4 linked regions of the Arabidopsis thaliana genome follow. The protein of the gene in region 3 purifies or fractionates together with the protein of the main gene of each other region. This does not show direct contact. Each region holds a gene or a part of one and is shown on either strand. Other genes may lie near its edges. The genes, in order: LPPepsilon2, AT5G23430, AT4G26630 and NET1B.

Evidence for each region.
Region 1: the proteins of AT4G26630 (region 3) and LPPepsilon2 purify together in Arabidopsis thaliana (affinity purification with mass spectrometry, with the first as the bait; one large-scale study listed by BioGRID). This does not show direct contact.
Region 2: the proteins of AT4G26630 (region 3) and AT5G23430 purify together in Arabidopsis thaliana (affinity purification with mass spectrometry, with the first as the bait; one large-scale study listed by BioGRID). This does not show direct contact.
Region 4: the proteins of AT4G26630 (region 3) and NET1B purify together in Arabidopsis thaliana (affinity purification with mass spectrometry, with the first as the bait; one large-scale study listed by BioGRID). This does not show direct contact.

What each region holds. Positions count from the first base shown.
Region 1 is NC_003076.8:26,532,667-26,537,031, reverse strand, and holds LPPepsilon2 (Phosphatidic acid phosphatase (PAP2) family protein), read right to left. Parts: upstream 2,417-4,365; 5' UTR 2,232-2,416; coding exon 1,899-2,231; intron 1,788-1,898; coding exon 1,562-1,787; intron 1,475-1,561; coding exon 1,401-1,474; intron 1,309-1,400; coding exon 1,223-1,308; coding exon of another isoform or gene 1,081-1,222; exon of another isoform or gene 987-1,080; intron 756-986; coding exon of another isoform or gene 731-755; intron 716-730; coding exon 508-715; downstream 1-507. UniProt on the Arabidopsis thaliana protein: Exhibits phosphatidate phosphatase (PAP) activity in vitro. May play a secondary role as PAP in plastids.
Region 2 is NC_003076.8:7,894,539-7,902,304, forward strand, and holds the start of AT5G23430 (Transducin/WD40 repeat-like superfamily protein), read right to left. Parts: upstream 6,026-7,766; 5' UTR 5,548-6,025; exon of another isoform or gene 5,458-5,547; 5' UTR 5,325-5,457; coding exon 5,297-5,324; intron 4,989-5,296; coding exon 4,858-4,988; intron 4,751-4,857; coding exon 4,633-4,750; intron 4,541-4,632; coding exon 4,314-4,540; intron 3,776-4,313; coding exon 3,673-3,775; intron 3,235-3,672; coding exon 3,164-3,234; intron 3,087-3,163; coding exon 3,012-3,086; intron 2,839-3,011; coding exon 2,695-2,838; intron 2,602-2,694; coding exon 2,256-2,601; intron 2,161-2,255; coding exon 1,648-2,160; intron 1,408-1,647; coding exon 1,348-1,407; intron 1,273-1,347; coding exon 1,151-1,272; intron 881-1,150; coding exon 746-880; intron 422-745; coding exon 347-421; intron 263-346; coding exon 150-262; intron 1-149. UniProt on the Arabidopsis thaliana protein: May participate in a complex which severs microtubules in an ATP-dependent manner. This activity may promote rapid reorganization of cellular microtubule arrays.
Region 3 is NC_003075.7:13,429,901-13,437,401, forward strand, and holds AT4G26630 (DEK domain-containing chromatin associated protein), read right to left. Parts: upstream 5,871-7,501; 5' UTR 5,752-5,870; exon of another isoform or gene 5,696-5,751; intron 5,026-5,695; 5' UTR 4,978-5,025; coding exon 3,943-4,977; intron 3,868-3,942; coding exon 3,834-3,867; intron 3,403-3,833; coding exon 3,320-3,402; intron 3,150-3,319; coding exon 3,090-3,149; intron 3,011-3,089; coding exon 2,900-3,010; intron 2,701-2,899; coding exon 2,608-2,700; intron 2,526-2,607; coding exon 2,442-2,525; intron 2,268-2,441; coding exon 1,769-2,267; intron 1,573-1,768; coding exon 1,481-1,572; intron 1,261-1,480; coding exon 1,230-1,260; intron 1,143-1,229; coding exon 973-1,142; 3' UTR 505-972; downstream 1-504. Other genes in the region: WRKY20 (WRKY family transcription factor family protein), read right to left, coding at 7,398-7,501. UniProt on the Arabidopsis thaliana protein: Chromatin-associated protein which contributes to the modulation of chromatin structure (such as super-helical structure of DNA) and function.
Region 4 is NC_003075.7:8,472,998-8,480,800, reverse strand, and holds the start of NET1B (kinase interacting (KIP1-like) family protein), read right to left. Parts: upstream 6,026-7,803; 5' UTR 5,885-6,025; intron 5,701-5,884; exon of another isoform or gene 5,680-5,700; intron 5,581-5,679; exon of another isoform or gene 5,345-5,580; 5' UTR 5,271-5,344; intron 5,188-5,270; 5' UTR 5,084-5,187; coding exon 4,984-5,083; intron 4,835-4,983; coding exon 828-4,834; intron 733-827; coding exon 1-732. UniProt on the Arabidopsis thaliana protein: Plant-specific actin binding protein. May be part of a membrane-cytoskeletal adapter complex.

The sequences.
Region 1 (4,365 bases), on a different chromosome or scaffold from region 3:
AGCACGATTACTCGAGGGTACTCTCAGGCACTCAGCCAGGTTTAGGAGAAGAAGTTTTTACGTATTTCTCATGGATGAGACAAGCAGGGTCAAAACCAAATCCTGCTCTTACTAGTTTGCTGAGTGTTTCAGGAACCATGGCAGTTCTTGAGCAAGGCAGGCAAGTTCATGCGCTTGCTCTTTATCTTAGTTTAGAACAGAACTCTACTATTCGTAGTGCTCTGATTAATATGTACTCAAAATGTGGAAGTATCGAAGAAGCTTCAAAGTATTCGCAGAAATAGACAGAGATGATATTGTTTCTTTGATCAATGGATATGCAGAACATGGAAAGACCTAAAAAGCTATAGATCTGTTTGAGAAGAGTCTGAAGGTTGGTCTCAGACCCGACTCTGTAACTTTCATCAGCATTCTCTCGCCCTTTACTCATTCAGGACATCATGACCTTGGTTTTCACTATCTCAACTTGATGCAAGAGAAGTATATTATCAGACCAACCAAGGAACACTATGGATGTATGGTTGATCTGCTGTGTAGAGCAGGCCGGCCAAGTGTTGCAGAGCAGATGATCAATGAGATGCCATGGAAGAAGGACGATGTAGTCTGGACCACACTTCTCAATGCGTGTAAGGCGAAAGGAGACACTGAACGTGGAAGAAGGGCGGCTGAGAGGATTCTAGAGCTGGATCCTACTTCTGAAACTGCATTTGTAACACTAGCCAATATATATTCAAGCACAGGGAAATTGGAAGAAGCTGCGCATGTAAGGAAAGTAATGAAATCAAACGGCGTGATCAAAGTGCCTGGATGGTCATCAACTAAGATCATGGATAGGGATTCAACGTGCAGTTGGTCTCATTCACAAAGTGAAGATATATACAGTATATTGGAATTAGTAGTATCCGGTGCAGAAGCTCATAATATGATTCTTAACTCTAATATGTTAAAACAAACTTGGCCCTTGATACAATAGCAGCACAAGTGGTATCATTGAATGTTAAAATAGCTCAATCAATATGAATTATAAGGAGAATCAAATGCATTCCTTATACATCCTAAGTACTGATAATTATCATTCTGTCATCTGTCATCTTTAAACCAGTTAAGTAGCACATAAACTGCAAAACCTAAAGCAGACGCAGCAGCAACCAGAAAGAGAGCTATTTGTACTGAGAATGTTGAGGTAAAGGCTTCAAGAACAAGAGAGTTCCAAGTTACATACCATAAGGTGGAGTAAACAGAACCCACGATTGCACCTACGACCACTTGACTTGTCGTGTGAAGCTTCTGAGAAACCCTTAACCACGTCTATACCCCAAAATAAAACATCAGTGTCAATATTTCGTTTTCAACGATAATTGTTAACTTGATTCATGTCCTAAAATGATATGAAGACTTACGAAATAAGAACCCAATGCGAGGATGAAGCCGCTAAGGAACAGAGAGAGTACATTGGTTCCAAGCCACTCCATAACTGTGGAAATAAGAGTAATAAAGTCATCTTTAAGAGTTGATCAAATGCAAGGGAAGAAACAGATGAGCATTGTGACTGATTGTTTACCGGAGAAGACAGAAAACACAGAGATGAAAGAAATGGATTGGGCATGAGAAGAAGGCATCCCAGGATCAGAACGGAGAGTAGCAACAGGTCTCTCTTGGTTAAGTATACGTTTCAAAGCTACTGAGAGCACGGAATTTGAAACCGATCCAATCACAGCCCACAAAGCTGCACCATCATGTCGTAGAAGCAGAACGGATCCAAACAGAGCTGCTACAATCCATTTGCTCTGCCATTTCACAAAAATGCAGCAACAAAAGAAAAATGTTTGCTTTGTGTTTCTTAGAAGATAGGCATTACATCAAACAGGTTGTGTGCATCAGGGAATTCGAATACCAACCAGACGATTAGCGATTGCTTCAATACCATCGCCGGCGTCGGATACCAACTCGTTCTGGAGCTCCGACGACGAATTACTGATGAAAGCCTCTTGCTCGAGCGCTTGGAATCGATCTTCACCGTCTCTGCGAGCATTGGTTTTAACCAAATCGGCCATAGATTTAAAGCCAGAGACAGACCAGATTCTTCTTCTTCTTCTTCGATCCAAAGGGAAGATTGAGCTCGAAATTCGAAATCGAGCGGAATTGATGTAAGTGGGAACAGAGGAAGCGGCGAAATGGAAATTGTAGGTGGGCTTGTGGAGAAGAAGAAGAGAAGATGATGACGCTGCCATTTCCAAAGAAAAGAGTCAACCTATAAGTCAAATCAAACGATTCGCTTTCACAAATTTATAGAATTGAAAAACTTTGGGATCAAATCGTAAAAACGAAGAAGAAGCAGATTACATGATCCGTGTGTGTGACGAACTAGCAAAATCTGATGAAGAAGATTGGGAAGTTGTGGTTATTATTACAAAGTATGTGTTAATTTCTAGTAATTCAAATATTAAATGCATAATCACTTAATCTTATGCATAAAAGCCCATTAATTGCGATCCAATCTTCTGTTGGTCTTTGTTAAATTTGCCCATAAAAAGCTCATTAACAATTTGCTTTAAAATAGGCCCATTGATGAATCCATTTTATCTCTCGGTTTCTAGTTTTCTTCTACCTTTCTTGTGGATTATAGGAAGGAATTTGTGCTTTTTATCTTAACCAATGGATATTAGGGGAAAAGAATCTAAAGTTAAAAGATGAAATTGAAAAGGAAATTTGTTAACAAGTTGAACTGTTGAAACCCGAATATGATCGAAAATAATGGCATTTAACGGTGGGAAAGCCGTGTACACGATTTTTATTCTTAGGAATATTATTAATGTCTCATCGTTTTAGAACATTGTTGCTTATTTTGGAATTTTATAGACATACATACATGTGATGGAGAAAAATACATTATATGGAGTATACATTATATGGAGTATATTGGAGGTCGAATATGCTTAACAAACTTTGCTAAGGAAAAAAGAAAAGGTGGAACAAAGAAGATGACCAATTAAATTACTATACGTATACTTAGGTCTTAGAAATATATTCTTGGTTATCCTTTTTAGTTTTTATACATTCAGGCTGATGTGTAAATAGATTCTCGCATAAAAAAGTTTTCCCATTGCACAACATAACTATATTAATTATTTAATCTATACTCCTTTTATTCAAAATAATATTTACTTTCGATTATAGCTTTTGGTTGTGGATTAAAAATGATTATAGTCACAAAAGCAACGATCGAATATCGTCTCGAACAAAAAAATATCCTTATGTTTCTTGGTTTAAAGGACATGGTTTATAGTAGAACGATGTTTTCTTCTCTTTAAATTATAACATCAATACTTTTGTTTTTGAGAATTTTTATTTGATATCTGTAAAATATAGACGTTTTGTTTTTTTAATTTTATTTTTCTTATTTTAAAGTAATCGTCGAAAATCATGTGTCAGTTAAGGTCTTGCTTCTTCGTGCTAGTTTTAATATTTGTTGTCATGTTTAATTACATACATACAGTGATACAGACATGGAGAAAAGTAAACCGCTAATACTGGTAGTTAGTAGTTACACGAGGTTTTAAACTGAAGTTAGGCTGGAGTGTGGGTTACCACACGCCAGAGCGTCTTGTCATTGGAGATGAAAACTGGGTGTCGTTTATAAATACATTTATTCTCGTAGATAAAAGATGTGTTGATGCGTCTATCACTCTGTCAAACTCAATCTACAAAGTACAGTTATACACGGTGTTGTGGCAGAAATTGAACATGACTTGAGAGCCAAATATGAAAAAATAATACATATTCAAGTTTGAAAGTGAAAAAGGGGTTAATACGGTGTCGTGTCGAACCAGATAGTCCTGAAATTCATGATGATTTTCTTATCACTGACAACGTATAGCTTTTACAGTGGTCAAAGTATTGAACCAGGACCCCAACAAGGAAACAATCTTCAGCCCTACTTCCTTCTAGTCTCCTCCTATCATATCTAGTACAACACTTTTACCAAGTTATTAGTGTATACATAAATTGAATACCAAGATATTTATGGTCATAACTTTTAATTGATACTAATACGTACAAATCTACGCATGCGTGCAGGTATGCGTCTGCGGATATAAGAATGATGCTTAAGAATGGTATTACATGCGCATAGTTTTAAAGAGAACAATTTATAAAGGAAGCAGAGGAAATATGATATGTTATGCATGGGTCGAACCAGCCTGTATTATCGATTAATTAACCCTCTTTTTCTTATAACTTTGTCGAATTGACTACTAGTACTAATTAACACCATTCGAAATTCTTTGTCATGATCTTTTGGCCACGAGTATCTTTATAAGAAAACTATTGTCCATTCAATAATTTATTTATTTTTTGGTTGGATTC
Region 2 (7,766 bases), on a different chromosome or scaffold from region 3:
AAACACTGTGAGAACAAATCAAGAATTCTTAGTCTAATGTACTATATCTATGACCATAAAGATCAAGCCTATTAATGCATCCATGAGGCATGATAAGTTTAGAAAGACGACTCTGCCATTTTTTAAAAATCAGAAAAGCGAGTTCTTACTGATCCATGCCGCTCCCTAAAAGAGCTGTTAGAAGGGGAAGAAGGGAGGTACAATTATCCAGTGTCAAAATCTCATTTCTCTCGGTTATTATACCCAGTACGTCCGCAGTAACCTGTAACCAATGAATAAGAAGATTGGCGTGAGCAGATAATCTTTTTCATATATCCTGCTACTGATACAAAAAGAAGATACTTACAGCATTATCAGCCATCTTCTCTATCGAGCCTATCGAATTTTTTACATCATTCCTTTCCCAATATCTACGAACTACCTGCAAATTTGGTGAATCAATTTAGGACAGAATAAATCAGGAGTCTTTCCAATCCCTAACTCTTTGCGAAGCTTCTGACATCTCAACCACCTATAAAATCCACCAACATAAGTAAACAAGGACCAAAATTTTCAATAAGCAGAAGAGGAGAACCATGTCCAGCGTTTCACTCCCAGCTAAAACATGCCAAGTGTTGAAATAGTAATTCTACGCATGCTAAGTGGTCGTGCATAAGCATATGAAAACTCTAATAAGTATTCAAGGTACTAGTCTAATTAGGGCTAAGCCAACAAAATTGTCACAACGTGACTGGTTTCACGTTACCTGTAACTTAGCCAAACGAGACTGCATAGAGCTGACAAATTGATTGTGCTTTCCCATTATGTCTTCAACAATATTTTCTTCAGAAGGAGAATCGATCCCTTGTTCAACTGGCATATGGTTCCCTCTCTGCTTGAACTATATGAAAGGAAATACAATATCTATTATCTCTGGATCTCAGAGGAACATGAGCAAAAGCATGACTAGATGTGTAGTTGAAAATTACTAAATCACAAAATATTATGTCTATTAAGATGTTATGAAGGCAGTACCATTTGAAATTGTATAAATCAAATGCATTAATTTCCTCTTTGTCCGTAACTTTCTAACTTTCCTCTTTTGTGGCAATTTACAGTCAGTGTGTTATTGCCTCAAGATCTCAAGTTGAAAATAGTAAGGCTATTATACCATATTTGAAGGGCGGATGTTTGGAGCAGGCATATTTCCACTTGAAAAATTTGAAACAGGACCCTCGAAGTTTGAAAATCTTCCTCTCCTCTCCCTATTTATGACGAGTGACTGGAATCTTCCTGATATGATAAGACACATGAATGAGATTCGCTTCATTTGCAAAAGAAAAGATGAAAGCTGGGCTGAAGAATCACCTCCTTTCTGACTTTCAGTGGGGCTTGGGTCTCTATTTGATCTGTGGCTTACCAAGTCATCTGAAACAATGACTAAAGCTTAGAACTGAGAATATCATCTATCAAACTCAACACAGGTACGTCATAGCAACCAATAATCTTAAACACATGATTCTTTCCACTATTTGCATGTTTCACTGGAGCAACTTCATAATATTAACCCTACAGGCCACATTTTAGGGGCCAAGGTAGTGTAAGACTACCAGCTGACATTCATATTAGCACTGAAACAGGCAAATATTCAAAAGGACAAAAACATACAGTTTTCATCGTGGTTTCGTGGAGGTGACCCCATCCGTGACCTTGAATTACTCCTGCCATATCTCTTGTATCTAAAATCATTAATGCTTCGCTCAGTTGCACCCCGCATGCCAACCTTTCCACCAGGAAGTGTACCCCCATCTGGTATATTATTTGGTTCAACTGGCTGAGACTCAGACATTTCAAGAACCGAAGCGTCTGGCAGATCAGGGTTATTTCTGCTGCTAGGTGACCTTCGGGAATCAGCCGCCTGCAATGAATACGGCATGGTTCTTGCAATTATGTCAAGTTCTGCTCTGGATTCAGTAGCCTGCTCTATTCTAGGGTCTGCTCTGGGGACAATCACCGGAGCAAAATCTGCTGCCTTATTGACAGGATTCGCCTTTGGGTTAGCTTTTGTAAAATTCCTCCTTGACGTTGCAGCATTAGAGACGGCTGTTGAAACACCCGAAGTGGCTTTTGATACATTGGTCGAACTGACCCTATGAGGAGTGCCTGGTAAACTTCCTGTGGCTTCAAACAGCAGACAAAACCAGAAATGGCATATCATTTAATCAGTGCTAAGATTAAGTAAGAAGAAAAGAGAAAAATAATAGAAGCAAGCATACATGAAAACGTCCTTGACTCTTTAGAAACGTCTGAATTTTGAGAAACTGACAACCTCCCGAGAGGCTTTGATTCCTTCATCGAGGACTCTGAATTTTGTGATGTTGATGACCTTCCAATGGACTTTGTTTCTTTTGTCGAAGGATCAGAGTTCTGAGAAACAGATAATCTTCCTAGAGACTTTGTTTCCTTCAATAAAGGATCTACATTTTGGGAAACGGACAGCTTCCCGAGAACTGTCTTTGAGTTATTATCATTGAGAACTACTGGATCTCTTCCTGAGCAAGATCGTTTCTCTGGATGACCATTTGATTGCGCAGTGTCTCCAGCCATACATGGCTCAGTACGCTGACCATGCATTTGAAAATGAGTTGGTTCGTAAAGATTACTACCAGCTACAATTAAACAAAAAGAAAAAGATATGTAGGGAGAGAGGAATACCGAGAGATCTACAACCCACACGCCTACACAACTCTGATTGTATGAGCAACCAAGAAGCTTTCCCTCGTGAACATTCATATCTGACAATCTTGACCATCCAACATCCACTCCATCATGACATCTAATTGGCTCCCATGAGAAAATCTACGATTTGCACAGGATTAAACCAAAGGAGTGAGGTAAGAAGAGTAGGAATGTGTATTTTGAAAGCAAATGAGTAAACATAAGAACGAATCCTTCAAAAGATGAGTTGTTCAATTAACATATATCTAATTTAAGAATCTACATACTGCATATCAAAGTATAGAAGAATTTACCTTGAGACTTTCTTGCAATCCACAAAGCACAGTCTTTCCATCTGGATTGAAACTCAGGCAACGGACCCCGGCAGTCTAGCGAAAATGAGAATATTAAAGGTAGAGGGAAAATAAAATGTCACCAATTTGACTTAGCGTAAAACAAGTTGTACCTCAGGTCCACCAGAACCAATCAGCTCGAATGTTTCCAGATCCCAGAATTTTACAGTTCTATCAGCTGAACCTGTTAGCACAGGCAAAAACAGAATGCTTCAAATATTTGTAATCACACTAATTTTACATATTCCATGTAAATATTTAGGTGAACGTTAACAGAGAGTGAGAGAAGTAGTCATTATTAAAACGTCGGCATTCTATTGTTATCTACACAACACAGCACCATTCTGAAAATATCTATGTTACACACACCCTCAATAATATGACCAAAGAAATGAAAAATACTTTAGATGCATATTTACTTCCAGATCTCAAATCACAGAGCTAAAAAGATAAGATGGCCACAAGAGTTTCAATTACATAAAAAGAAGATGACGCCATGACACAGGGATCTATATAACTGGTTGGGCTGGGCTGGTAACCGCAATACAGTTGTGATCAGACACTCTTAGCCTAGAAGTTTTATTTTGTGTTGGTGTTAGAAATTTTTAAGAGTAATACAAACCTGTTGCCAGTAGGAATTCATGAGGATGAAAATCTAGGCTTTGAATTTGCCCTTCATGACTCTTAAACTCGGTCAGCAGTTTTCCAGCTGTTAAATCCCAAACCTGGTAAAGACAAGCTGCATATCAGATCCATTAACACACAGAAAGATAAAAAAAAAGGTTCCCGGTAAATTGCTTTTCAAGATAACAATACAGTGCGCTGAGAGAGGTAAAGAAGCAATAACCGAGAGAGATGAAGCATCCGAAATAGTTGGCCAGGGTGGTCTATGTGGGTTTTAGCAAAATGCAAAAGAATAGTACGTCCTAAATACTCTCATATAGCATACTCAGCTCAGGTGCAGAGAGGTAACACTAAATAGTCGCAAGTTCTCCTCCACACTTAAAGGGCAATGCTTACTACAGAACGTCATTCATGAGATACATACAAAGAGAATTAGAACAAAAGCTTATTCCTACCAACTCTCGAAAGCCAGTTCATAGTCTATAACCAAAAGCGCAGTTTCATTGCTCCAAATTCTCCCAAAGGTAAATCCAAACTAATTATGTCAACTAAGCAGCTGTATTTCCCTCCACAGTAGAGAAGATAAAATCACATACCCAGAACTGAAAAATGACTAGTGACATGAAAGCAGCTACCAACCTTAACAATGTTGTCCTCTCCTCCAGATACAACCCAGCGACCATCTGGGGTGAATCTGAGTACATTGACTCCTCGCGTGTGACCCTTGTAAGTATGGATGCAGCCCTTTTTTCGTATATCCCATATCTTAAGATTTGTGTCTAGTGAGCCTGACGCAAAAAACTCACCAAAAGGGTGGAAATCCACTGAGATGCAATTGGACCTGTGACCAGTGAGAGTCCTGACAACTACTCAACAAAGCAAGTGAAAGAACACGTAAGTACTCACAGAAGTCAAATCGAGTCCAATAAGAATGGTCTCTTGGAACTACAAAACTTACTCTTTGCCTCCTCTAAATCCCAAAGTTTGATAGTACCACTAGCAGCTCCTGCTGCAACTAAGACCTCCGAAGCATCAAACGTCACTGAATCAATTCCACTTGAGTGCCCATACAAGCTCTGACAACAAACAAGCACAAATGAGATACTCAGAAAGAGTGAATCCCATAGAAACACTCTACTAACTTATAACCAACACATAATGAAACAGTAGACCGAGAACTGACCAGAATGGCATTGGGCTTACCAATAGCCCAAAGATTGACCTTGTGATCTTCACCACCTGTTACCAGAACCCTAGAAGACTTCCTTCCGATCTTAAGACAATTGACAGCAGCAGAATGTGCCACAAATTCCTCTTTAAACCACACAGAAAGTCAAGGCTAAGCAATAGGTACCAGATAGAGACTCTAGTCAAAACTCAAACTTGACTTCATTCATAATAGTCTTAAATTTAAACAGACAAGTTTCTCGAAAGGTCTTAAATTAAATTACTCCACGGGGAACAAATGCAAACATGAAAAAAGATGAACACAGACAGATCTCGTGCATATCAAAATAAAAGCAGTAGATCAAACACGGCACTTGTGACACAGAACAAACCCTAAAAATAGAATCTCAGAGAAAAATACGAAAAGAATCAAAATTGGTGTAAGAAAAGGATACGAAGCTTATAGGCTCGCTTGGTGGTCATGGCGGAAACGAAACCCTTGAAGTGGAGGACATTCAAATTACACTCTCAACAACCATACCAAAACCAAAATCTCGAGAAATCGAAGAAAGCAAGCAGCCCTCAAGATCTCCGCTTTCTCAACCGCTGAACCAATCTGAAAGCTCAAACGGGAAACAGATCAAAAACCCAGAAATCATTTCTGGGAAAGATACAAAATGAAGCCTTTAGGAAATGGAAGCCGTACCCAGCAAAAAAGGGCTTAACTTTCGTCTTCCCAAAACGCCAATCTCACTCTGCTCCACGAAAACACACAAAATTTGGGGAAGTGAAGAAATGATAAAGGAGGAATTTTTTTGAGGAATACTCGGAACTTCGTTGTTGTCTTAGATAAGCGGAAAATCTAAGGAGAAGTTGAAAGTGATTTCTCTTTTCTCCAATGGCGAAGTAAAAAAGGAGACAGAGAGAGATTGACAGAGAGCAGAGCACAAGGAAGAAGAAGAAGAGAGAGAGAGAAGCAAAAAGGGAGGCGCAGAGAGAGAGAGAGATACTTTTTTAACCTTTGGCTACGTCTTCTCTCTTTTAAGTTTTCTCCCTCTTCTCTCTATTTCAAATTCCCAAAACAATTTTTTCATTTAATTCTTTGAGTTCCTCATTTTTCATGCATCTTGCTACTATTCACATTTACATTTACAAGGAAGAGTACAAATTATTAAACTTTTACCATTGGTTTCTTTTTGTCAGAAACCATCATGTTTGTATTTTGCATCTAAAATGAACAATAACAATTAATTATTCTACATAAGAGTATATTCAGTGGAAAATTAAAAAGAGTATATACATTCTGATTGTAGGAACAAAATAGTACTAGTGCATATCCAAAAATAGTTTTTAATCAATAAAAGACTTAAAAAAGGGGAGACATTGCACAACTGAAATCGCGGTTTGCAAATTAATCCTTAAGAAAATGTTTTGACCGAAATTTTATATAATGGAATTATGAAACTACTGTCGGTGCTATAATGGAAAATGGCGATGTAATCATTAATAGGTGATTATTGCTTAGATGTTAAATAAATTTATTATCATGGACCCTTGTCCAAAAGTTACAAAATTTATGTACAAGTGTTTCAGTTCTAGTATCTCTTAACATTTAAAAAACTCGTCCAAAACAAATATGCAATGATCATATAACTTATCGGTTATTTTCCAAAGTATTTTTATACAATATTAGTGATAACGTACTGTGAGGATAAATAAGTGAGCGATCCAACAGCAAAATGTAACTTTGTATCCATAATGAAAGAACAGTGACAGTCAGTAGATAGACCAACGTTGGATAGACAAAAAAATTATGGTGAAAGGTTTGGCTTGAAAGTAACGGACTACCTAATTGCATGGGGCCATGAGCGATCCCATACATTTTACAAGTACACAAACTCTAACTCCAAAAACAAAAGATTTTTTTATTTAATAAAGAGTTTTTTTTTGTGAAACCATGATTTCAATGTTGCAATGCTTCTTGAATCTTGACTTTAACCAAAAATTCATAATTATTTTGAATGGTTAATTTAATCATTTATCCGTCGTCGAATTTTTAGAATTAGGGACTTGATTTATTGGTGCAATGTTATTTAAGTAGAATTGACATTTCACATTACATTAAAATATCAGGAACACCTATTTTAAAATCATGTTTTTTATATTCTCTTGTTAAAGAAGAAATTCATTAGGTGGTAGAAATCAATTACGTAACATCAAGAAAACAACTTTATGGATAGATGTTAATTAAATAAACATTCGGTAAGATAAAGTTTTTATGTGGAAGATGATTGTAACAACTTTTAAAGACAAGATTACAGTAACTACAAAATTTTGAAATAGAAACCTAAAATTACGGACATATATAAGCGTTTTGACTTTTTAGAGTTTAAATTACTTTGTCCCTCATTACATATACTTTGGCTGCTTGCTTTTGAAAGCGCACAATGCATTAGCTAATTAAAAAGCTAAATCAATCATTGCCACCATGGTCTGGCCTGGCCTTGGCCTAGATGTGCTGTCACCAAATCTGAGTTTTGTAATCCAATTATTGTATTATTCATATGCAAGCTCGAATCTCCATCCACTCCAATTTTAATACTCCAATCTTTATAAAACGTTGAACTTTGGAAGACGTGATACATGGACGTGTTAGTACGTTAGAGTTGATCAAACAACCATAATAATATTCCTCACAAAATCTAAACATATTACTAAGATTTTTTTTTTAGTTTTCTTCTGAGAATAATGACAGACTCGTGATATCTATGATGATGAACCTGTCTACCTTAGGGCATATGTATTTGACTAAGACGACTCGCTTCTCTCTACCTAAAATATCTTGTTTTAAAGTTTATGAGAATAGGAATAGCTAAACCGATACGGGCCTAGAATCTGACCCACGAACGAAAAACGGGCCTAATC
Region 3 (7,501 bases):
AAACTTTACAGATCGAAACTGAAACTACGGAGACGAAGAAGAAGTGAAAGTTTCTCAGTGATTCTTCTACTGAGAGAGGTCTGTCAAGTATATTCCGTTACTCTTATTCCGGTTTACTCCTTAATCGATATTCTATTTTGCAATCGGACCGGTACTTTTGCCTTTGTGTGTGTGACAGGTCTTTTCGAATCTAGTACATCAAATAAGATAATAGTAGCTGCAGCCAGAATGATAAAAGCCTGGACAAGTGTTGCTTATGCTTATAGTTAACCATGTTTAGCCATCTGCTTTGAATTCTATGTATTTGCAGTGTCTCCATTGCAATCTATTTAGGTACTCTGAATGTAACAACAGCAATTACATTCTTTTGGAACTTGTGTTTGGGTTGTCCGAAAAGGGGATGTAGAAGAAGAGCACAGATTCTTTTCTGTATATTTTGGTCCTGTAAGAATACAGACTCTCTTCTTCATCAATGTTAATCTTTGTTGTATATGTTTATGAGGTACCAATTCCTACATTTCTTAGACTGGATTTGCGTTGGTAGATTTGCAGATATGTTAGAGATAGATCAAGGATACAAGATGAGCATAAATTCCTTCTGCAATATTCAAAGTCTTAAAGGGAATCAAGAGAAACATATTATTCATTTATTACCATTGGCCTCCTTCAAACCAAAAGACATAAACAAAAGAAACCTTGACAATGTCTCGAAAAGGGAGCCTCACAAATCAAAGACAATCCAAGGAGGCTTTTATGTTAAATGCTATAGACATACAAGCAACCTATCCTTTGGCTATGCAGCTTCTTCCTCTTGTCTCTACCAAAAGTAAAGCTGCTTTACGCAGTTCAGACTCCAACAACAAAATATTACATCCACAGATTTAACTTACACATTTGCCAGATGACTACTAGGCATTAGGCAACAGTATCTGACAGAGAGACTCAATATGTGCGATGTGATCAGAAAGGAGTTTAGGCTTTCACCTCCTCACCACCACCAGACCCTCCTGCTTCCTCCTTCTCTGAATCCTCTTCTTTCTTTTCCTCCTCCTCCTCCTCATCTGCTAATTTGGTGAGCTCCTCTTGGATTATCATCTTTATAGATGACTTTCTTGGAGTGAGATCTTCTGTGAACTCCTTAGCTGAAAGATGGATGAAACAATGTGTTTATTTTATATATAACCAGGAATCACTGGAAAAACAAATGACTGAAACCAATCTGTTCATACCAAGTTCTTTAAGGATGTCCGTGAACGTAGCCTGCAGAAGAACAACAATGCTCTTATTAGGTTATCTAGGTATAGAAGGAAATTCACAGTTTGAATAGATATTGCACAACAAACTTCAAATCAGCTTTCAGAAAACGAAGGTTATTTCATGTAACCAATAAGTTTGTTCGGCAGAATCCAATTTTGTTTTATTCCACACACATCCCAAGTAGTTAAGTGTATCGCATATAAAAGGTTGAGAAATTACTCACCGTACTAAAGTCCACTCTTTTCAAGATCTCAACGATTGCATTTTTCAGCACTTTATCACTCGGCTTGTCTTTCCCTTTTCCAGCCCTTTTTACTTTTAGCATATAGACACAAACAGAGATAAACATGGTGTCAGAAAACATTAGTGGTTGTATATTGGTTCGCTTCTGAAAATGAAGATATAAGGAATAAGATTCTCCAATGCATCTGACATACACTACACCCAACATGTTTTTATTCTACCTAAGCGACCATCTTACTGGAAGAAAAAAACAGGATAATGACCAAACCTGGCTTCTCTTTTGATGCAGACTTTGAAGGAGCCGGGGAGGCCTTGATAGGGTTTTCAGACTTCTTCCTCTTAGAGGACGCCTTTGGACTTGTATCACTGTCATCATCAGTCTTCTTTCGTTTGGCTGATGACCGCTTCTGTGTAATCTTCTCTGGTGGACTGGATTTTGCAGCGACCACTGCTTTCTTGTTTCTGGCTCTCCCTGCTGATTCTTTCTTCCCAGCTGACAATCTAGAACCACGTTTCTTCTTTGTAGTTTCTTCTTCAGAATGCTCCTCAGATTCATCTTTCTCCTCGCTTTCAGAAGGCTGAGGCGCCTCATCCTCAGATTTATCAGGAATGCCATTTTCATTCTCCTCCTCTTTTTTCTCTTCTTTCTCTTCTGCCTTCTCCTCCTCTTGTTTTTCTTCTTCTTCTTTCTCTTCTTCAGATTCATCATCAGAATGAGCTAAACTCTTTTTGACAACTTTTGTTGCTTCTTCAGACTTTTTTTGGCTCTGCAAAGGAAGTGCAGAATAATATAATCAGATTAAAATACTTAGCCAGAAACATTGACGGGTTGACCAGTGATGGACAGTTGCAAATAAGCTACATTGAGATTACACGTTCTTTTCAGAGTTAATAACAAGATTAATGAACAAGCAAGCCCTCAGCTCTAAGCTATGCATTACCTTTGCTGATCGTTTGGAGGATGAACTCCCAGCTGTAGGTGAAGTTTTCTTGGGAGTTCTCTTGCGTTTTGCTCCCTTACTTGACTGTTTCAACAGAATGTTTTTAAAGAATGTAAGATGCACAATAGTTATTAAAGCAAACAAAACTTTCCCAACACCACATTACCTTCTCTTTCTCAGAAACTGTAGTGTCACCGGTCACATCACCTGTCACATGAGGTTTCTCCAAAAACTCAAACAGTTTTGTAATAATATCTTCCTGTGTTGAAAAAGCATGCAACAAGAAGTTGCCAGATTCGATTAAATGGGGAAATGAATAAGCATAAACTTGGACAACCAGAAATGGCTAATCAAGCTGCTCAACAAAGACAGAAATTTAAACCTTCACATGTATCTATTCACAGAGGAAAAAAATGAATCTCAAGAACAAAAACTTAGAAATTGATAACCATAATGACCTTCTTTGTTGTAGCCTTGGTAATGTGTATGTCCAACACATCACAAAACTCCCACAGTTTCTCTTTGGTGCATTTCTCAAGCTTTTCTTTTACTTTTTCTTTTGCTTTCTTCTGCAAATACCAAAGAGCCACAATTATATACAAAGCAAAGGCATATGTAAAAGCATTCATTATGTGTAATGTTGCACACCTCATCTCCATGCCAAACGAAACCAGAGAAGCCCAATATGTTTGTCTTGATCTGAGCAGCCTGTTAAAGCAAGAAGAATAAGATACATACAAACATGATTAGCAGACTTGCTACAGCACATGAGTCCATACCACTGGTCTCAAACTACAAGAGTATGCCCATGATTGACAATTTTAGAAGTATGACTATTGGAGCAGCATAATGTCAAAAGGATCCAAAGAGACGCTCACCTTCCCTCTCCTCCCACCAAATAGAATTGGGTGAAGCAGCTTCAAAGTTTCATCAGACCTCTTCCTCATTACCTTGTTAGCAACTACAGAGAAGAAACATTCAAGTTATCTACTTCATTTCAACTTCAAACAAAAATAAAAAGATGAAAAAATGGAACAATAAAGGTATTTTTTAGGTAGGTCGCGATTATTAGATTTTGGTTTACAAGAAATCTTGCTTCTGAGCCGGCTGGAATTGATCAATGCCAAGAAAAAAAATTCAAATGAAGATTCACATAACCAGAACCGAAAAGTGTATAGATCAAAGAATCCACCCATAGTATACATGCAATTTAACAACTAGTAGTATCCAGCACATAGAATTCTCGTAACAAAAGAACGTTTAGGCTACGCACACTTGAAGATAATAAGGGGCTCAAACTGTAAACTTGGAAAGCTAACACAAAAGACTTTTCAGCACAAGGATAATTCGAGATAGATGCTTGAAGGACAGATAGATAGAATATGAACATACCATTGGGAATATCTTTGAGATATGCACCTCGCCCCTGTAATATCCAAAGGATTATTATAAACATATCTAGCAATAAAGTTCTACTCAGCTCAGGAAAGTTTTGGCAAACCTTTTCAACACGGAATTCTTTCGAGGAGTCTTTATCAATCAATGCAACAAGCCTCTCAACAGATTTCCGCTCACGCACAGGGCGATCAGAGAAAGGAGTCCTAGGCTCTGCATCCTTTTTTACTTCCTCGGTTTTATTCTTCTCGCGAACCTTTCCTCCAGAACTCGTCCCTTTCCCACGCTTTTTAGAACCCTTGCTCTCTTCTTTTTCATCTTCTTTATCATCATTTGTCTCCTCTTTCTCATCTTCCTTTGCATCTTTGCTCTCCACTTTTTCATTGTCGTTCTCATCCTCACTCCCTTCTTTTTCATCTTCTACCTTTGACTCATCCACCTCAGCCTTTGCCGCCTCAACTTCCTTTGTTTTATTTTCTTCCTTATCTTCCTTTTCTTTTCCTTCAACATTCTCCACTTGTTTATTTTCATCCCCATTCTCCACTTTTTCATCCATATCTGTCCCTTTGTCTTCATCTACCAGTGTCCCTTCCTCTTTGATGTCTCCTGTATTGCCATCTTTTGTTCCATTTGCTTTGTCAGCTTCATGTTGTATGTCCTCCTTCCCAGCTTTTTTGTGGTCTGCCTCAGTAATATCTGTCTCTTTGGTCTCTTTTTCATCATCTTTGGCATAGTTATTGTCTTTAGATTCCACGTTTTCCTTCATTACAGTATCTTCCACTGAAACACCATCATCAGTTTGCTCTTTCTTTCCATCGGCATCTTCATCCATGTTGGTAGCCTCTGCTTGTCCCTCATCTTTGGTGACCTCAACCTTCTCTTCCATTTTTTGAGTCTCAGCATTGTCTTCATTTTTCTTAACCTCTGACTCTTTATCTTCCGTCTCAGCTTTTTCATCATCTTTCTTAATCTGAGCATCTATCTCCATATTGTCTGGCTCAGCCATATCCTCATCTTTCGCCAGTTCTTGTGTTTCCTTACCCCCAGCATTCTCCTTTCCAGCCATAGCCTCTGATGGCTTTTCAAGAGAAGTAGTCTTGTTTGCGGTTGGCTCAATGGTTGCCTTTGTATCTTCCCCCATATTACAAACCAGTTCAGTAGATCCTTCCACCAAAAACACTTCTTGTGGCTGTGAATGAGAAATCAGTTCAGAGGATTAATATTGCTACGATAGCAGAAATTAATGCTCTCTATAAAGAAATTGAACAACTTGACATAAAGAACATGTAAAACGCATTGAATTCACACTTAGCATATATGCGAAAAAAAACTAATTCCAGGAAAACAACATCTAAAACTTGGCTAGTCAACAATAAGACAAATCTAATTTAGATCTCATTATTGATCCATAATTATCACTTAATCCCACTTTAGATCTGCAGAAGAAGAACTAAATGGAAATTTCGCGTAAGTCACTAAGAAACCAAAATCTCGAAGGTTCATCATTTATCCTCGCTTCTTATACATTCAGTAGAACAAAGATCCAGATGGACAAATGAAACCAAAAAACACCCTTTCATTCAGACAAATCTCCAGAGCTTACACCACACAGATTCAGACAAAACACAAACCCATCTTGAATCTCTCGAAATCAAGTCAATCAACGTCAAATTCATGCATTTTGTCAACAACTTAATAGCATCAGATATCAAAAAGACAATAAATAATCAAAACATCGAAATTCACAAATAAAAGAAGCGCATGAGAAACCCTAACTTCTCATCGCAACTTTAAACAAACACAAAGAAGAACCAAAAGAACATGCGAATTCAAACAAAGCTCAAAACATAAAAGCTCACAAAGATTTAAGCAGAGTATCCACAGGGTTCTAAAGCAGAAGACTTCGGAATCTCACCTCAGAGTATCACAAGACTCGGCACTGAGTTTTTTTTCTCCTCTAACTACTTTTTTTCTTACAAAACAGAACAAATAGCTTTTGTTTTTCTTTTTGATAGCGTTTTTTAGGAGAGAGAAATTCAAGGATTCGGACGCAAAGCCAGATTTTAAATACAATTTAATGCCACGTCAGGCTTAGGATGAATCATTACCGTCCGATTTCATTGCTGTAATAGAGTTCATCAACGGTTCAGATTTTATGTTTGATGCATCTCGTGGATCGATGACGCTATAAACTACCCTAACGTCCGGTTCCGAACCAGGTACCGAGCCTAGACTTTATATTTCAAGGATTTTATATTAGGTTTTTGGACAAAAAAAGTTAACATATTCAATGTTTGTGACCTATAGAAAAATATATTTTTTTAACTACAAATTTAATTTGGTAATTTTTCAATGATATGATAGTTTTGTAAATAAATTATCTATAAAATTACTATATAACAGATAAAAATAAAATTGATACGTAATAATTGCTATATCGGTTTAATATTAATGAAATTGTTTTACTTCTTTATGATAAGGAAGCTAAGTTTATGTGATTGAACAAATGATTAAAACAAACTCTTTCTTAAAATGTACTTCTTTTTAAAGAAATTTAACGAATTCGTTGAATGTTCAATTATAATTGATTTAAACAACGCTATATTAGGTAAAATGATCTAATTGAATAGAATTGTATAAGTGACTTTAACAAATTTTGTTATTTTATATTTAAATATTTTTTATGATGGATTCGATCCGCTACCATAAATAGCGTTGTCAATTTTTGCAAAAAAATTAACATGATAATCCGATTTTTACCTTTCCGCAAAAGATGAAAATGATTCACTGGTCCGGTGAAAAAAACAAGACTATTTTGACGACGATGATTATAAATGACTTATAATGTCATTAGTTTGATAGCGACAAAATTTTTATTTGCTTAACGGGTACTATGATCTAAAAGAATCTAATATGTTTGTCTTTAACAACAGTAAATGCTTCGGAAAAAAAAAAGTTCTAAATATGAAATTAGAGATTGTAACTTCCACCAAATAATCTAGATACATGTAAGAGAGAATAAGGTTACTGTTTTAATTGCCAATCTACTTCTTGCACAAATCTCTTAATTTTGTATAGAGACTGTATAGTATAACCTTCCAAATAATTGAACAAAGTTTAATATTGTCCCATGGTAAATCACCTAGTCGAAGTATTTATATCTCATTATTATGAGTTTTTGACAAATCTAGAAGTCTAGAACTAAAAGTTGAGAAACTATTATTGAAAAACGGGCAACAGTTGTAATTGTCTGCTTAAGGACCACGTAGCTTAAGTACCGTCGTGGTGTTTCTTTCATGGAGCATATCTAATTACGGTGAAGAAGAAATAGTTTGTAGTAATATTGCTGTTTCTTGTTTAAATAAAAGCATTAACATCTTGTTGTGTATTTTTACATAACATTTTTGGAACTCAATACAGGTGACACAAACAAATATATATGGTGGAGATAGTTTGAATCAAGATCAGCTCTCTGTGAAGAAATAGGAATTATATAGAACAAGGCCTCGTCCCATTCCTAACCTAAGAAGATCCCGTACATAATGTTGCTTACTTTTTGTTTTACGGACCCGATTGTACTCTCCCCATGTTGGGCGGATATGGGTAAGATGAATTGTTCAAGGACGAGATGTCACCATTTTGAGTCTCGTTCTTTGTTTCTCTCT
Region 4 (7,803 bases), 5.0 Mb from region 3:
AAGAATCTCGTTTGTGTTTTCCAGCTGCGAGACAGCTTCTTCCATTTCTTTCAACTGTCTCTTCACTATAACCAAATCAGCGTTGCTGAATCTTCTTTGTTTCTCATTCATCTCCAGCTTTCTTTTCAGATCTGTTAGGCTAATCCGGAGACTTGACAGTCTCCTTGAATCAGACAAAAGTCTCTCCAGAATCTTTGCCTTGTCTTCGATGTTTCTAGATAACTCTAGTTTGTCAACAACTCCAACCGCTTTATCAGATTCTATAGAGGGATTCCGGCTTTGATGACGGAGATTGGAGTTCAATGACCTCTGCGGTTTGTTACTGTTGATGAGAAAGTTTACACTGGTCTCTGATTCAGCAGATTCATCCCAAAACTCAAACATGTCATTGGAACCATGACTAGTTCCCTGGCTTCTGCCATAGGTCAGGGAGTCTGTGACTTGATCACGAGGATTGTCTTTCATTAATAATTCATTTTTCACCTCTGTCATCTCAGGCCTCAATCTTGGCTGTCTAGATTCACCAGTGACCTGGTCATCAGGTTGTATATTTTCAATCTTCCTGCGGTCTCTGCGTTTTTGGGAGGTGCTTCGTGTTATTTGCCTTGATAGCCTGCCTTTTTCTTTAACAAATGCTTGTTCGATGGTCTTAATACTTGGATTAATTTCCTTCAGAATCACAATTCCATTGCATGGGCTGGTGGTACTGCCGCTTTCTTCCAGATTGTTTCCCTGAAAAAAATGGAAATGTTTAGAATTATTTAAGATCGGTACAGCGAGAAAGATGAGTTGACATTTGAAATAGAAGAACGAGTGCAAAAGTTTACCACTCTTTGTTGATAGGCTGTTGCAGGAAATTTCGTTAAAGCATGTGTACTTTTCTCAAGGGCTTTTACATCCCCTGCCAAAGATGCTATCACAGGATCATAAGCTGACAACTGACTCTTCAGCTCAGTCACTTGAGACTCCAAAAATCCAACTGTTTCTTTCATCTGTTTAATCTTAGTCGTTTTCGTAACAACTTCATCATTGAGGTTTTCACAAACTCCTGAGAGTTCGTTAACTTTGTTCTCAAGAATGAGTTCACGGATAGCTGAGACCTGAAGATCAAAGTAGAAAGATGTTGCCGCAGAATCCCAAAGTCCAATCTCATTGCTTTTCTCTTGCAGCTCCAAACTCAGGTACTCCTCTCGAACCTGTTGTCGTTGAATTTCTTTGTTTAAAAACTGTACCTCTGACTCCAAATTCTCATTCAAAGCGTTAAGTTTTCTAATCTCTTCCTCCTGTCTTCCAGCAACATCTGACAGTTCAGAAATCTGCCACTCTAAATTTGCCCTCATCCGTCTTGAGTCTTCATAGTCTTTCCTCAGCTCCTCAACTTCTTTGTGCAGCTCTTCGTTTTCATTGTTTGTGGCCTTGAGCATATGCTCTGCTTCTAGGATCTCCATTTCCCTATGTTCCAAGATTTCGTCTACATTAGAAACCTGATGTTCCAAGAGTCCAGTTAAGAAGTTGTCTTCTTCAAGGCCTTCCTGTAAATTTTCCAGCATCTTGTTAAGACCTTGACTTTCTTTCTCTTTACCTTCTAACTTCTTCTCCAGTGTCTCAACCTTGCGCTTCAGTCCCGTACTAATTTCTCGTAAACTGCTTACAGTTTCAACAAAATCTTCGACCTCCTCAGCCATTTCAGACCCAAAGGACCTGTAAACAACACACGTGTTACTCAAAGCAACAGCCTCCTGAAGAATTGCATCATTTTCTTCCTCAACTACATGCATTCCATCTTTAAATTCTGAAAATTTCAGAAGCAAAGTTTTGTTATCATTGAGTGTATAGGAATAATCTTGTTGCAAAACCATGTATGAGTCATGCAAACTCTCAAACTTCAAATTCTCAAATTTCAGTTCAGCTCTCAGCTTTTGCTCTTGTTGCTCTCTTTTGATCAGTTTTGATTTCAACAACCGGTTCGCTTCCTGTAGATCTTGCTTGTCCTTTTCAAGCATTCCACACTGATGTATTTTAGTCTTTAGATCTTTTTCGAGTATGTTCTTCTCCGATTCGAGCACCAAACCATCTGACTGGAATTGTCCAAGTAGAGATAAAAGCACCGAGTTCTCAACTACAAGTCGATGCATCTCATATTCAGCACTGGAGAGTGAACCTTTTAGGCTATCAATCTCTCCCAAAGCACGTGAAACTGAAATTTGGTCTTTTGTAATCTTCTGTTCAGTCTTGCAATCTGCTTCAACTTGAAGTGCCTTTATCACCTGATAGATTGCACCTCTCAAGCTATCAATCTCATCCAAAAATATTTCTGCTTCCATCTGCTGCTCGAGATTCTCACTTTCCAGCTCAGCAATGAGTTTCTCGGAAAATTCTGATGCTTCAACATGCTTCTGACACTCAATCAGGAGAGAAAAATTCTTCTGCTCTAGATCTTCTATAAGCTTTTGCAAGATGAAGATCTCGACTTGTTTGTTTACAACTCTGTCAAGCTCATCCTCGTACTCTCTTTTCCTGGAACGACACTCTTCTCGAAGAAAGCTCACATTCTTCTGAAGATCTGCTAATCTGCTTTCAGTAGATCGTTTGTAATTAGCACTCTCCTGCTTCTCAGCGGCAAGTGAGACCTGTAACTCTTCTACTTGATGGCTTTTGAGCTTATTATCTCTCTGTAAATCAGTATACCTTACTTCCAGTTCTGTATACTTCTTCTCCAAGACTCCTAGCTTCTCCTCAACCTTACACAACTGAGAGACAAGAGATTCTCTTTCCTTCATAAGCTCAGACTTATCATTTTTGAGAAACTGGAAGAAATCATCAAAGCACTTTGACTTATCCCTCAAACTTTCAAGCTCAATGTTTGCACAAGACAGGGATTTCTCTAATACAGAGTTCTTTTCCAAGAGTGTCTGCATATTCGCAGTCATGATTTGCAACTGGGAAACCAAGTTAGCTCTCTCGGCAGCAAGCTCAGATTTCTCTCCTCGTAAAGACTCACATCTTTCTATCAGATCCTTCGCTTTCTCCCTGGAACCGTCTAGTTTGGTGTTTGATTCCAGAAGCAATTTCTCCAAATCAGCATTCCTCTTTAGAATGCTGTCCATTTCACATAGCTTCCCTGTAACAGCATTATTTTCGTCTCTCTGATTGGTGCATAACTCGACTAGCTTCGAGTTCTCGTCTTGTAGTTTCTTCACGGAGTAGGAAAGAGATTCGGGATCGAAACCTGTGAGGCTTACTTGGTCAATTAGTTTTTGGTATCTCCTATTCATGCTGTCAATATTACCCTTCACACAGTGGATCTCTACTTGAAGGGCACTGCTCTGGTTCATCTGTTTCGCAACTTCTTCCTCGAGCTTTTCTTTCATTTTCTTCAAGCAAGAGATCTCATTTTTCTGAATCTCCAAGGAGATAGAAGTGTCATTTATTTCGCTTAAGTTTCGGTTTTCTTCTTTAGAGCTGATGTCACCTTCCAACTTACTATTTCGCATCTCCAGTTCTCTCAACATTTGAATCCGGCTATGAAGTTCTGAGGTGAGAACCTTCTGCTCCTCTTGGGATTGAGAATGCAAACTCTCCAAATTTCGAAGGCTAGCTCCAAGTTCTGAAAACCGCAATTGTTCTTCTTGCATTACAGCTTGAAGCTTTTCAATCTCGTTTTGCTTCTGGGAAAGTTCTTGATCCTTAGCTGACATTTTGTGCGCTAGATTTTCTGCTTCTACCTTCATTGTTTGATTGAAGCTCTCCAAAAGAGCGCATTGTTCCTCCACAGTCTTTATTTTTGCAGCGCCAGCAAGAACTTCACTGCTCAGTCTTTTGGCATTATCTTGAGCATGAGAAACTTCTCTCTCTAACTTTGATATTGTCTCCAAACACTGCTGATATCGAACATTCAAGTCCTCATTGACTTCGTTCAACTTCAGAAGTTCTTGTTTCAAAGCTTTGATTTCAGTTTCTGCTTGTTCCGATTGGTCCCTGAATACTCTAACACTCTCCTCCGCATCTCTAATTGTCTTCTCTAAGGAAGATATCAACTCAAGGCTTTTATTGTATCGTAGCAAGCCAGCCTCCTTCTCAGACTGCAATCTAGAAAGCTCTTTCTTGAGACTCATGGCTTCTCTTTCTGCTTCAGACACTCGGTTAGTGAGCCCCTTCGCATATTCTTGCCCATGAGAAATCGATGCTTCCAAATCCGCTATTCTCTCAATGGCTTGACTATACTGAAGAAGCCCAGTATCCCTCTCCACCTCTAGCTTTGCAAGAGATTCCTTGAGTATTTTAATCTCAATGTCAGCTTTGCAAGCACGTTCATCAAATCCTTTAACATCCTTTTGAGCATCGTTGAGTTCCTTTTCAAATCTGGATACTTTGCTCAAGATTAACTGATATTGGAGATTCAAAGCTTCCTTTTCAGTCTGAAGCTCAAGCAATGTTCTCTTTAAGGTTTCAACTTCAGAATCTGCTTCGTGAGAATCAGAAGTTCCATCTAATTTATTCATCTGACTAAAACTCCTTTTACTTTTAGTACCATCCTTTTGTAGAGCTTCTGTATCTGCTTCTGTACGAGGCTCAGAAGAAGATGATGCAGAATCCTCAATCATGTCAAAAGACATCTGGTTAGGAAACGCCTCAACCATGACTTTATGCGCACGCCGAAGCTCCACAGTTGTATGATCATACCTCTCAGCTAAAGCACGATAAGCTCTGTATAGCTCTTCCACCAGTTTCATTAGCTCTGGACGTTTCTTGAAGTACATGTCTGCCCTTCTTGCAAACGAATCTGCATCAGCTTCGATGAGCTTTATCATTGTCTTGACTTTGGAATCCATGTCTGTTTCAACACAAACAAATATTTCCTTTAAATTGACTTCCAAAAGAAACAAAATATCTTTAAACATACAAATCAAAAGCATTATAATGCCACAATTTTCAAGACTCATAAAAAACACCAAGGAGAAGTCAAGAAAGATTATAGAATACCTGCAAGGTTATCCTGAATCCATTTTGAGTTTTTAGGAATGTGACTATCCCACCACCACGAGTACAACCTCCCAGATTCTGACTGCGACAGACTGGCCATAACAGCTGCTGCAAGAAGCTCAACGAACGGGTTCTACGCCAAAGTAAACTACTTGATTCCTTTGATCCTCTACTAGTATGCTAGAAACTAAGAATTCTACAAAACTGAAACAAAATGACCTTATAATCAAGCTAAACAACGAAGGAAGTTACATTAGATTTAAATTGCTTTCCCAATGCAAACAAACCTTTGCACTGTGGATTTGTACTTAATGCTAAATATCAATTTGGTGTCCTTAAGAATGATAAACACTGGATCGTCCTGAACAAGAAAAAAAAAACAGCAATCTTCAGAGAGATAACACACAAAACTATCTTCAAACAAGGCATAGACAAAGATACAAACATGAGTAAGCTTTTTAATGTATAACAAAACACAATCAAGAAGAGGGAGAAAAGGGAAAAGCTAGTCTTTATGTTTCATAAGAATTGAGTTGGTACAAACTGAAAACTGCAGACTTCAGGAAAATGTATCATAGAGAGACAGACACTTCATCAACCACCAATAATAGAGACAGCAAATAACAATTCTTCGTCAAACTTTGGGAACAAAACTAATCAAACTTATATACACAAACAAAGCTAAACAAATCTTACTTGTAGATGAAATTAACCAGAAATATGAAAATGGGTAGCAACAAAATTGCCAAAGGAAGTAACTTTATCGAAATTCAGGAGAAAAACTTGTGATGAATGCAAGCAACAGCGACACAAAGATGACAACTTTCGATTGAAAACTGAAACATCAAGCGAAAACGATTTATCTCAGAGAATTTCTAAAGGATCAAAAGCACTTACTTACCCAAAAAGAAATATATACAAAGGGTAAAAAACAAGAACACAAATTCAATCACTTGACTCTTCAGTTTCAGACATCAATGGAGGAGAACCACAGAGACACACAACATTCTCTTCTCTCTCTCCTTCGTCTACACTGCGTGACAAGAGAATAATTAGTATGATTGGCGCATATAGTAAATATTCGATTTTTAATAATTTTTCTTACCTTTTTTTTGTAAAAATAAATTTTCTTACCTTTTTTTTGTCTATATCTTTTGGACTCTTTTTTATCTTGGTGTCATTTTGTAATTAAATAGTAGAAAAATTACCTGTTTAACGAAATTTAAGGAAATTTTTGTATCTTTATAGGAATATGGTTTAGTGAAAGAAAAAAAAAAGGATTTTAAGTGTCGGCAATATGATAGGATTTAAATATGAAAGACTTTGATATGCAGAGAGGCACAAATGTGACATATCAAAAATTTCAACATACGACAAATGTGTCCACATTAAATACAGTAATTTCAATAATGAATAATGTCTTAGATATCTTTGTTTAATTTAATTTCGACAATGATTTATTTTAGATTATGTAATCTGATTTTTTAGTCTAAAATGATCAACTGTATAAAGAAAACATTATTTTAGCATTTTACATGTATTTAGTAGTTTAAGCTTCTCTCATATATTATATATAGTGTGTGTATCACACCATCTCATTTATTAGTCTGAAGTTAGCAATAAGTTGGGCATGTTATGTTTTAAGAAATGTTAGGCATGCATGTATTCAATTGTTGTTCTATATACAAACTTATCACCTGTAACTACTTTTTCAAGAAAATAAATATTTACACTTCTCACTTTATAAAAAGGGACATGTTGAACAACATTATTGCCCGTGTAATCATGCATATTAGCTTTTTGTGTTCTTAATTAATCATATGTATTAACAAAGGAGTAAGCAAATATTGTTTAATGTCTCTTCTTAACTAATAAAAAAAATTGTTGCAAAGTGAAAGATCTCACTGATATTCAATACTATGTCTGAACGATTATAGCCGTTGACAAATGAACTATTAACGGGAGGATCGGTGAGATAGATATTGTTTTGGCCCTGGATAAGATGTGATCATCGATATTAATGATGTTTAGTGAAATTATTAAAGATTTCAGCAATAGAAAATTAGGGGTTTCAAGAGGACGATTGATCTTTTCCGGAAGATGACTGCATTTTAAAAAAAAAAAACAAATTTTAATCACAAAATTTAGTAAGAGATATTGCCTCCAATGTAAAGTCGCCTATTTAAATAACAATTTTTTTTTAATTACAAAAATCGTCAAAATTGAAATATCAATATTGAAAATAGATAGTTTAAAAAGATATTTAAACTAAAACAAATGCCTACAAACACAGTTAAATGTATAAAAAGTTATAATTCAAATTGTTATATCATTTGATTACATGTATTAGTGAGGATAAAGTGCTTGTCAAATTACAATCTTAGAGTCTCAAAAACCGCAAGATGTTCAAATATTTTTCTTTTTGTTTTGCACGCAAGCCACATTTCCACCAACAAACATCAATAAGTGTACGTTCAAGATCTAAAAAATGGATAATGATCAAGAAGAGGGGTCATCAAGATCTCCACAGAAAAAAATGTGAGTAGAAGAGACATAAAAAAAGGTGGGATGTCACAAAAAGAGTTATATGTGAGAACAAGTTTATAACCTGTCTTGTTTTGGTCACTAATGAAGCTAACAATAGAAACTCAATTAATCTGTAAAGTCCTCATCAAAAGCCAAAAATGATAAAAGATTTTTTTTCTTTGTAAAATTTGATTCCATCGTGTGATAATATAATGGTAATTACCAAGCAATACATGTTTCTCAGAAGATTTGTGTTTGTGTATTTTATTATATTCATGGACAAATGTAGCCAAT